3 linked regions of the Oryzias latipes genome follow. The protein of the gene in region 2 purifies or fractionates together with the protein of the main gene of each other region. This does not show direct contact. Links are inferred from orthologs where the notes say so. Each region holds a gene or a part of one and is shown on either strand. Other genes may lie near its edges. The genes, in order: ift74, ift81 and ift88.

Region 1 (4,176 bases), on a different chromosome or scaffold from region 2:
TTGTGTGGGTTTACTTTTTTATTTTAAGTTTCTTTCCTCTTTTTTGGATTGGGCTAAAGTGTTTATTGTGATTACTTGTTAATTAGTGATGTGATTATTAAACATGAAATAAATTGGACCTTAAACTCACTTTTATGACTCTTTCCTGTGTTATATAAAATAGTCAGAAATATTAAATGATTTTTGTATTTTTGTATTTGTGCTTTTTATAAAGTGTTATTTTGCCATTTGAGCATGTCTATGGTTAAATTTATAAAATATCTATTTGTTTTGCACAAAACTCTTTTTTGTTGTTGATTGATTTGAAAATCAGTTCTAAAGATCATGTGTATCAGAATAGGCTGACAGGTTAAGTTTGTATTTAATTAAACTACTCCTAAAGCTACAGAAATTGATCGTTGTAGAAAAGCAACATGTTTGACATAACAAAAAAATGACCAACTACTGACATAGGCATGATAATCTCAGAAGATTTAAAAAACAAAAGATGAAGCACCGATGAATTTCAAAGTAATGGCACTGTGTCAAAGAAATATAATATTTTTCTAAGCCAGAGTGCTGCAATCTGAGGCTTCGCAGCCTCGTGCAGTTCTTTTATCCCTCCATTATTGCTCTTTGGCTTTAAAGAAAAATGCAGCAATTTGAAAAAATAATGGGTTAGTGGTTTTTGTTGATATGGTTTAGTTAATTAAGTTTGTCATTTGTTTAGATCTTTAACATGTCAGATAACTGAGGGGGGGGGGGGGAGATGGCTTATTAGTAAAATAAGCAAAAGCTCATATTCATATATTCTTCCGATGCTGCTGGTTGGTGTTCAAAGCCTAAATCGTTACGGCATAGAATTGCATTTACATGCATAGATAATTAAAAAAAAAGATTCTAAGCTGATTTTTTCACGTTTATATTTGATAGTAATACAAGTAAAAAGATGAAGGAACTACGTAATCACACTGATAGAAATGTTCTGTTTGGCTTTCTTGTTTTAATTGTTTTAATTCAATACAATTTTTAAATTCAAGTAAATCTGCTGCAACAGGAGAACCTTATTTGACACGGGGTATTTTATTTTGAAAGGAATGTGGATATGCAGCTCTCAAAAGTAAATTCATTTTCAATTGTTATTTTTTGAAACACGTAACACTTTCATAATTCAATTGTTATAAATGTTTAAAAGTTATGTTTAATAAATGAATAGTTAAGTGTCCATATAAATATAAACAATATTTTTCTGAGAGAAGAAGCACCAGGAAAATGGTTCTGATAATTGCACAGCCTGTATTGGCAGGCAGAGGGCAGCAGTCCCGTCTCAAAATGCACAAAAACTAGTAGAAGAAGATGGTTACTGGGGTAACGACGACGTTATCCTCGGCCTCTCGTTGCTAATGTTTTTATTGTGGGTTTATTTTTCTCTTTTTGATTAATCTTCTGCATAAGAAGAGCGGGACATTTAGAAGAGACACTAAAAAGGTACGAAAGATGACATGTAGCAGTAAGCTAACGAAAGAGCAGTTAGCTAAAAAAATTGTTTGGTAATCTAAACACAACTCTATTAGAGTTGTTCAGTCTTTGTAATATTATACGGAATGACGTTTGCTTAGAATTACGTTAAAAGTCAGACCTTTGTTTCTCCTAAGCATCGATAAAACGAGGTTCTAGGTGCAGAGAACTTTGTAGTGTCGAATTGGGTCGCGTCACGCCAGGCGGAAGGTGCTCTTAAAAAGTCACACGTCTGTCTGTTTCAGTCTCATAATGACGAGCCAGCGGCCTCCATCCAGCATGGGGAGGCCCCCCAGCCGCAGTGGATCAGCGGCCCCTGGTGCTGGAAGACCCCCAACGGCTGTTCGACCCCCTCCTACAGCTATTCGGGTCCCCACTGCAGTAAGGCATTCATGCAGCTCACATCCCATAATACACCCTGTTAAAAATACTTAACTTTCATTATGCTTTTCAACCTTTGACACACTCAGATGGTTCCTGGTACAAGCGGTTACCCTGGCATGAGGGGGGGCATCCCCTCCCCAGGGGTTCTGGCTGCACCCATCAAAGTGACAGACAGACCAGTCACCCAGCAGGGGCTCAGCGGGATGAAAACTGGCATCAAAGGTATTCCTGATGGTGGGAATCCCTGCATGTTAAGCAAATCTGTTCTTTCCAGCAGTGTGCAACGGAGGAAATAAGTATTTGATCCCCTAGTAACTATTAAGAATTCAGGTACACATGGACCAATTAGACCCTCCTAACCAACCTTAATTAAAGACACTTTATTTGAACTGATCGCATGTAGAATAGATACTTTTCCACAGAATCAGTCCATCAGTCAGACTCCAAAATCTCCAACATGGGAAAGACTAAAGAGCCTTTAGTGGATTTAAGGAAGATTGTAGGCCTGCACACGGATTGGACTACAAAACCATCAGCAAGAAGCTGGATGTTAAGGGACTCTTGCTGCCAAAATACAAGAATGTGACCATCAATCCACCTTTTAGGTCTGAGACTCCAAACCAGATCTGAGCTGGTGGGATTTTCATGATCATTAGAGCAGTGAGAAATCGGCCTAAAATGACACGGCAGGAGTTAGTTGATTATCTCAAAGCAGCTGGAACCACAGTTACCAAGAATATCATTATATATATAGTATACTTGATGGTTTAACATCTTGCAGAGCTTGAAAAGTCCTGTTTAAGAAGACACGTGTGCAGACCCACCTGAAGTTTGTCAATGAACACCTTCATGAATTAGAGCAGGGGTGTCAAACTCATTTTCACCGAGGGCCACATCAGCAAAGTGGTTGTCCTCAAAGGGCCAGATATAACTTATACATGTAACTAAATGTAATGAAAACAAATGTAGCTACTACTTAATGTTAAATAACTCATTATTTATTTACTATAACTTTTTAAAGAAACAATTACAGTTGTATAGAAAACATATGTTTGCTTGTAACTCTAGCATAAATCCATTCAAATTTGATTCTGTCAGGCTAGGTTATATAGTGTTTAAGTCCCAATATATAGTAGCCCAATCCGATATTTCAAGTCAGATTCCCCTAGATATGAATAAATACACACTAATTTTTATTTTTTTATTTTACGAAATGAAAAACTTTTATGCTCTCGCGGGCCATATAAAATGACATGGAGGGCCCCCGGGCCTTGAGTTTGACACCTGTGATTTAGAGAGAAACTTGGAGAAAGGGTGCGGTGGTCGGATGAGACCAACATGGAGCCCTTTGGTATCAACTCAACCTGTCATGTTTGGAGCAGGAGCAGGTGCACCAGTTCTAAGTCAGCTGCTAGGTGCCAGTAGGTCTAAAATTGGTGGTGGATGGATCTTCAAACATGATCATGATCCAAAACAAACAGCCAAAACAACCAAGGAATGACTGAAGAAGAAGAAAAAGAAAAGTGGAATATAATTCCTTCTGATATGTGTAGAAACCTGATCAACAACTACAAGAAACCTCTGACCTCTGTGCTGCTTATAAGAGTTTTGACGAGTTTTTGAAGTATTAAGTGTTTCTGGCAAGAGGGTTTAAATACTTATTTCCCAGACTGTCCATTTTATTTAAGTGGGAAAATCTACAAAATCAGCAAGCTTATTAATACAAATAAAACAAGTACAAATACTTATTTCCTCCCCTGTTTGTTTACATCCAACAGAGGACAGTTTGTCTTCACCTATTCTGTTTTCCTCACTGCAGGACCTCAGAGACAGGTTCTGGACAAATCCTACTACCTGGGCCTCCTCAGGTGAGGAACACCGATTATCTTTAGGGACATTTTTGTTGCACTAAAATATATTTAATACCTGAATGTGTTATTCAGTGCTATGAGGATTTCCAACAATACGAAAGCTGTTTTAAAAGCAGATTGATCAATAAACGATCATGTATAAAATGTAGAACATGTGAAAAAAGTGGTTAATTCTGTTGTTTTTACTGTTAGGAGTAAGATCAACGAGCTGACCACTGAGACCAGCAAGCTCCACAAAGAAATTGATAACTACAACCAGGAGAACTCTGTGTACCTATGCTATGAGAAGAGGTGGGTGGTGGTTCCACTAGTTTGCACTGACATTGTAAGTTGGTTTTTGTTTCCCCAATGCGAATTTCCTTCATAGATAAACTGGTTGGATATGTGTTTGAAACAGAGCTGAAGATCTGGCTGCGGAGATTAA
Region 2 (3,655 bases):
GTCAAAGAGGGGCAGCGAATGCCCTCACATGTCAAAAACATGGGGGCAATTTAAGAGCCCTCCCCAACTAATTCAAAAAGCGACTTAAATCCCCCATTGGTGTCTAAACTAAATTTAACCAGATGATGATCAAACGGCTTCCTGCTGCTGGTCAGCCAATGACGAGCAGCCGTGGTCACGACCCCTAGAGAGATCAGGCAGCTGTCGGTTGGCATGTGATGACACACAATGGAAAATACCTCAGATAAAGCGATCATCTCCACCACGGCTGATGTCTCAAAACTACCCAAGAGACTGATAAGCCCAGTTCAACAAAACATTTTCCACTATATTCATTCATGTAAAGACTCAAGAGCCTCTTTGCGCCTACAAACAACTTCCTGTTGTACTTTAAGAGCCTCAGGTTAACGGTCATACACAAGGGGATCTGCGAAACATGGACGGCAATCAACCATTTGAGTTTGCGTGGTATTGCTTCTGCCTGAGATAAGAACCACATCTTCCACAACATCTCGTTAAATTCCTTCCTGTCACATTTTTAAAGCTTCTCCCAGAGTGAATGGCTCAAATGATTCTTCTCTTCTCTTCCTGTGGACCATAAACACACTGGAAATGATCTTTTCATTTGTCTTGCACTTCGTGTATGTCTCACCAGAATCGGTAATATTAAGTTTGGATTTCTTTGCAAACATCACGTTTTTAGTTTTGTTTGTCTGTATTTTGGGCTCTTTTGTTCTGCTCGGACCAGACTGATGCTGAGACACCTGCTCCACCACTTCTAATCCACGAACCGCTACTAACACATGACTGTTTGGTGCTGTAAACGCAATGGAAGTGCAACAAATGTGCAAGGCTTACAACATTTCTGTGTGACATGAGGGCTTTACTCCCGCAGAGGAGCCTGTGGCAGATATGAAGAGTGCATCCTCCTGACTAAATCAAATCGAAGACATGTGTGTGACCTAACATGACCAGCTGACCTGTATTGGAAGATGGATTACATTAAAGACATTAAAGAAAGAGACTGCTTTCAGGAAGTTTGTTCAGAACAGCTCCTTGCTCTGGATATTCTTTCTTTTGTGTTCTATTCCTGGCTTTCATGGGAAGGTGGGGGAGAGTGGGGTAAAGGGGTAAGAAACATTATACAGTGAGTGTGTCTGTGTTTGGATAAGAACAGAAATAGCCTCTTGAGGATTCTGTAGGTCGCTTATCTTCTAGAGCGCACTGGTACGAGGCTGCAGATGACGAGAGCCTAAAGGAAGACTGAAAAAACCCAACAGCTTTGTTTTGTGGTAGCGGCAAACCAACTCTGTACCTCGTCGCCTCGAATGACCTCCTCCTCTGGTGACGACTGGCTGTGCCTCTGTTTCATCTCCTTCTCTGCTGTGGCCAGCGCCTCCCTCGCTTCCTGGAGCTCCTCTGCCTTTGACTCCTTCTTTCGGCTGATAATGGAGGCCTGAAACGTTCATGTTGTATTAGATATGCAGCAATGAAAGAGGAAGTTAGTTTGAGTTTTCTTTTGAGACATCATGAAAAGAAGTGCACAGCAGCAGAAAAAAATAAACTAAAAACTGAGCACAAACTTTCAACCCAAAAAAACCCCTCAGTTATCATTTTATATAAATTAGAAAAATGATATTATTATGAATTTAATTATGTTTCTTGTATGAAATTTCCTGCCTGTTACAAGAACAAAGATTGCAGATAAAAACTAATATAGAAGAATATTTATATTTAATAATAAAAAATAATGCAGGAAGAATAAATGGATAAAAATAGTTAATTGTATAAACTATTACAGTGGTGTCTTTTTGTAAAGAGGACCAATTTGGTGCAGTGAAAAAGTGTGAGGGCCAACAATCGGCCTGCATTCTTTGAACCCCAATTATAACATTAAATGACTTAAATAACCTATTTAATGAAAAGTCTTTTGCAACAGGATACTTTCCATTTCTTCACATAAGTAAGTACAAGTACAAGAAGTACAAACCATTGCGGTTTTGATCACAGAAGCCAACCTGGTCCTTTCATTTGGCCCTCATGGCTCAGAAGGTCAAGCACCCACAGGTTGTTGTCGCAGGTTTACGACGGCTTATATCATAATTTAGCCAATCACAACCAAGAAATTGTACACACGATTCTTAGAAAGTGTTAGGAGTTGCATATTATTTTTGTTTTTTATGACAAGAGCCTGCGGGCTGGTAGAAATATGAACATGAGCTCCATTTGGCCCACGGGCCGGACTTTGGACATGCCTGAACTAAGCCAAACCAAACCGGGATTTCTAATCCTGTGTGACTGTGGCCACTGGGAGTCATAACTCACAGGCTGCCGCTCATTTGATGCAAAACTGATAAAGAGGTGAAAGACCATCACAACATGCAACCGGGTCAGCACCTGTTGTCTGTAAAGGGTCAGTTTGTCATCTATGGGGTCATTCCTCAACATCTTCTTCTCAATCAGCAGGTTAATCTGAGAGTCCACGTCTTTGATCTGTGGGAGCGTAAGTCAACAATCAGAACCGTGGGCGGCATGAAGGAACCCAGCATCCCGCCATGTTCGACTCTTTACCCTGTCCTCCAGCTCCCGGATGTTGGCCTGGCCCATTGCAGGCTCTGATGCCACTTTCTGCAGGTACTGCACGGTGCGCCTCAAACTCTCCAGCTCTTTGGGAAGTTTCTCAGTGACCATGTAAGTGTTGATCTTGATCTCCTCTTCAAGTCTTCTGGTTAGGCCTGACAAAGACAGTTTTTTGTTAAGCTTCAGGTTTGATGCATTTGCTTTATTTTTTTTAACACAAACAGATTTTTGGCTTCATTAAGGCTGTTAAACCTTTAGTGGAAGAAGATGCAAAATATTTTTGATAAATAAAACTGATGTGAACGGGGCTAAAACATTGTATGGGAGGGGGCAAGAGGGGGGCAGAATACTTTGCAATGGTGGCAAAACACCAGAGAGGAAGGCCGTTACAAAGGGAAAAGGATCAAAAATACATATTTCTAACGTATATGTACTTGACTCAAATGATGGCATAAGCATTTTATTCACATATTAGAAAGTTATGTCAACAGAGAAAGCAGTGAGTCTCCTCTAATAGTGCAGCTTTTCATTCATCTGGACAGCACAGATCATTTTAGAAATCTCTAATTTGTAAATCTCATTTAGGCTTAGGAGCCCAACACCCAGAGAAAACCTAAGCAGGATATTTCAAACCCACATAAGCTTCATTACACTAAATCAGAGATCAATATAATTAGTATATCAACAAGTTAAGCATGTAAGCAAAGACTGCTGTGTGTGGTTTCCATGAATTTTCATGTCCTTCAAAGGACCGGGACACTCACTCTCTGGATTTGCATCTGTGGCCGATTGGCGCATATCCTTCAGCTGCTGCTGGGACCTCAGCACTCTCTGCTCTGCCTGAAACAGCTGAGCACACACAACAATGACAAGTATTGCTATTTTAGGAAGTTAAACATACAAAAGTCAAGTGTTGTAGCTTTTGACGTCTTTTAGATTCTTCATCATGTGCTTAATTTGATAGATTTTTAGGAAAAACACAAGATTTTTGCAGACATGTAAATTATAAAAGTAATGTTCTCTGAATAAATTCACTTTAAGAAAGAATATTTTTGGTTTTTCATCTAAAATGCTT
Region 3 (3,070 bases), on a different chromosome or scaffold from region 2:
TACCTCTTAAACCTTGTTCTATCAAGATGACCATTGATGTGTTCTCCCTACTATGACAAAGGTGGATAAAGGTGGAAAGATTTCATGTAATCCATGGAAACCATTGAAAATCACAAATCATTGAAGAAAAAAGTTCAGCGCACTGTCTAGTGGGTCTAGATGACCCAACTCCCAATGTCAAAGTGCCTATGATAGCACAGAGGTTAAGGCTTTTGAATGAACTGTCCTGAGAAACCGTGTAAACAATCATGATACCAGTCAGATCCAGACAAACTAAAGGCTGATGGTTATTCCAGTTAAAGTTCATCCACAGCTACCGGTAGATGTTGTTAGCACATATTAACCTAATCCTAATCCTCTTTCCGGGTCAGTTCAGCCAAAAAAAAAGGCACCGGCCGGCACAGATAAAAAAAAACTATGAAGTCATAATTAGTCGCAGGCCACAGGGGCCTGCGACTAATTATGACGTCACATTTTTTGATTGGCTGTACGTTGGTCCGATAACGTGTAAGATAGTGATTGCTCTGGATAAATTAAGGTACGACCATAGAAGAAGATATCGCCAGTTCCGTTGTAAACAAAGTTCCGACATATAGCGAGATGATCTTCTAAACGGGACTTTATAGATGGATGGATGGATAGATAGATAGATAGATAGATAGATAGATAGATAGATGAGGTTAATACATACTAACAACATTTAGCCGTGGATGAACTTAAACTGGAATAACCATCATCCTTTATTTTGTCTGGACCTGACTGGTAACACAAATTCACATGATTGTTTGCACAGTTTCTCAGGACTGTTCATTCAAAAGCCGCCTCCGCCCGTCCCAAAGCCGCTCATCTTTTTGGAGATACAAATCTCCCGGGAGACCGTTGTCCTGAGTTACAACACCGTAGTAAAGCACCCTAACCTGCCTGCAAACACGAAGCTACCAGTCTGGCTGTTCTGCTCAGAGACACGCACATGCAATATGTGCGTGCGCATGATTGCGCAACAGTACGAGCACAATCGATTAATCCGTGTGCATGGTTTATCAGATTTTTTTTTTAACCACTGGCACCTGGAGGGTTCCATACTTTTCAAACAGCATATATTCGTCTGTTCCTGTTTTACAATAATATGAATAAAGAAATACTCATAAATGCAACTTTCATCTTAATTTTCTTTTTATATGTCCTCTATCATCAGAAAAGGCCACAAAGCACCATTTTAAAAACACCATTTTCAATAAAGTAGGTCTTTAAACTAATGTTATGGGATGTTTTTTTGAACAAACATCTACATGCCATTGTTCTGGTTTGAGAATGGTTCAATGTCCTGAAAAACATCCTCAGAAATGATTAATTTCTTCTCTATCATCAGTTTTCAAACGGTTGGCACTTCCACGAATTAACATGGAAGCCGTCACTACCAAATCGGAGTCCCTGATTGGTCACAGTTCAAACTAGTTTAACCTTAAACGCCCGTTCAATGGGTGCGCCCTTCGAACATAGAGCCCAAAAACGGTCGTAGTAACTCTCATAGCGACGCATGAGTGCGAGAGTTTTGAACGGGGAAGCCCAAATAGTGCAGATACACACGTTTACATAGACTCTTGAATGGAAGTGGTCTCTTGAACATGTGTTGCCGAGGGTGAAAAGATGTAGCTTTAGAGAGTAGCTCCTTATGTCCAAACAAAAAAATAAAAACGTTACCATTAAAGCTGTTTTTTGTTTCTACATGCGTGTAGATGCATACTATGTGGACCCGCTGGGGCCTCTTATGGAGAGACCAAAAACAGGAGCAAAGAGAGTCGTGGAAGAAGACTTCGCTGATGAAGATATTGGAGACGACCTTCTGCCAGAGTAGATGGATCTGCTCTGTTCTGTAATGAACTTTTCCAGATTGTTTAAGGCTCTTCAGGCCAGTTTATATGTTCAGAAATTCACACATTCAAGTGTTTTTAGACCAGATGTGTGCGAAGCAGCATTCTTATACTTAAGTTGTGGATTAATTCAAAATAAAATAAAGGTTTTTCTCTATTTATATGGGTTGAATAATGTGACAGACTGGCGACCTGTCCAGGGTGCCCCCTGCCTTTGCCCACAAGTGGCCGGGATAGGCTCCGGTGGGATAGGCTCCGGCAGCCCCGTGACCCCGAAAGGGAATAAACAGAAGAAGAAGATGAATGTTATCATTGTTCTAGTTTTTTATAACTGTATCAACTCGACTGGTAAATCACTTGTAGAGGGGGAGCAAGTGCTGACCTACCAACTGACTGACTGAGTAGGAAAGTCATCTGTACTCCATACACCGCAAGACCCCAGAATATCTTTAAGAATGTATTATTAGTAGTTTCTGAGATTCACACAGTCTCTTACTCGCAAGAAAATCGCTGAGTACACACACAATAAGTGTACAACATGACCGTCAGTTCCCTCACTCTTTGTACAGGATTTCACATTTCCCAGGAGTCTTAGTGGATCTAAGGTAGCCCAGGTCACTAAATTTGTATTATCTTTTATAAATGATTATTTACATGTATAACTGTTCAAATAAAACATTGTTATTTTCCCCTAAGCATGATCAGTGTGATCCTTTGGGCTTCTTTTCTTTAAATCAAATATTCAACATAGATTTGAAAAACTTGTTAAATGAAATTTTGGAACTGGATTATGATTATTGGTTTTCGATTATTTGGGTTTTGGTTTAAAAGTTTCTGTTGTTTTTTTTTTTTTTTTTTTTTTTTTTGGGGGGGGGGGGGGGTATTTTTGTTTGTTTGATACTGTGGTCCTGTAAAAAATCGTCGTTTCCTCAGAACTCCAGAGGTTTTCCAGGGCGGGTTCCAGTAATCTGGCGTCCAGCAGCGGAGGCGCGCGACCAACTGTCTGGACTTCCCACTCGCGTCAGGAGCTGCTCTCAGTCACGCAGGGGAAAACTTTCCTCTTTTTGTCTCCGTGGCTCTAAGCCTCAGAACGGGACTTGATCTGTCAGTGCTTTGGTTTGATTTAGATTTCTGGCGCCACGCAGTTGCATCCAAACGTCTCCCAAAGGATTTTACGCACAGATTTCCGGAGAGGGGAA

Evidence for each region.
Region 1: the proteins of ift81 (region 2) and ift74 purify together in Homo sapiens (affinity purification with mass spectrometry; 3 studies listed by BioGRID and IntAct, counting the BioPlex papers as one, with this or other methods). This does not show direct contact. The link is inferred for Oryzias latipes from reciprocal best matches to the Homo sapiens genes IFT81 and IFT74.
Region 3: the proteins of ift81 (region 2) and ift88 fractionate together in Homo sapiens (co-fractionation; 3 studies listed by BioGRID and IntAct, with this or other methods). This does not show direct contact. The link is inferred for Oryzias latipes from reciprocal best matches to the Homo sapiens genes IFT81 and IFT88.

Annotation. Positions count from the first base shown.
Region 1 is NC_019878.2:5,897,399-5,901,574, forward strand, and holds the start of ift74 (intraflagellar transport protein 74 homolog), read left to right. Parts: upstream 1-1,310; 5' UTR 1,311-1,467; intron 1,468-1,740; exon of another isoform or gene 1,741-1,742; 5' UTR 1,743-1,749; coding exon 1,750-1,878; intron 1,879-1,967; coding exon 1,968-2,103; intron 2,104-3,700; coding exon 3,701-3,749; intron 3,750-3,944; coding exon 3,945-4,043; intron 4,044-4,149; coding exon 4,150-4,176. UniProt on the Homo sapiens protein: Component of the intraflagellar transport (IFT) complex B: together with IFT81, forms a tubulin-binding module that specifically mediates transport of tubulin within the cilium. Binds beta-tubulin via its basic region. Required for ciliogenesis.
Region 2 is NC_019867.2:25,423,769-25,427,423, reverse strand, and holds part of ift81 (intraflagellar transport protein 81 homolog), read right to left. Parts: intron 3,430-3,655; coding exon 3,345-3,429; intron 2,736-3,344; coding exon 2,572-2,735; intron 2,494-2,571; coding exon 2,398-2,493; intron 1,457-2,397; coding exon 1,316-1,456; intron 1-1,315. UniProt on the Homo sapiens protein: Component of the intraflagellar transport (IFT) complex B: together with IFT74, forms a tubulin-binding module that specifically mediates transport of tubulin within the cilium. Binds tubulin via its CH (calponin-homology)-like region.
Region 3 is NC_019879.2:11,372,719-11,375,788, reverse strand, and holds the end of ift88 (intraflagellar transport protein 88 homolog), read left to right. Parts: intron 1-1,736; coding exon 1,737-1,855; coding exon of another isoform or gene 1,856-1,877; 3' UTR 1,878-2,566; downstream 2,567-3,070. UniProt on the Homo sapiens protein: Positively regulates primary cilium biogenesis. Also involved in autophagy since it is required for trafficking of ATG16L and the expansion of the autophagic compartment.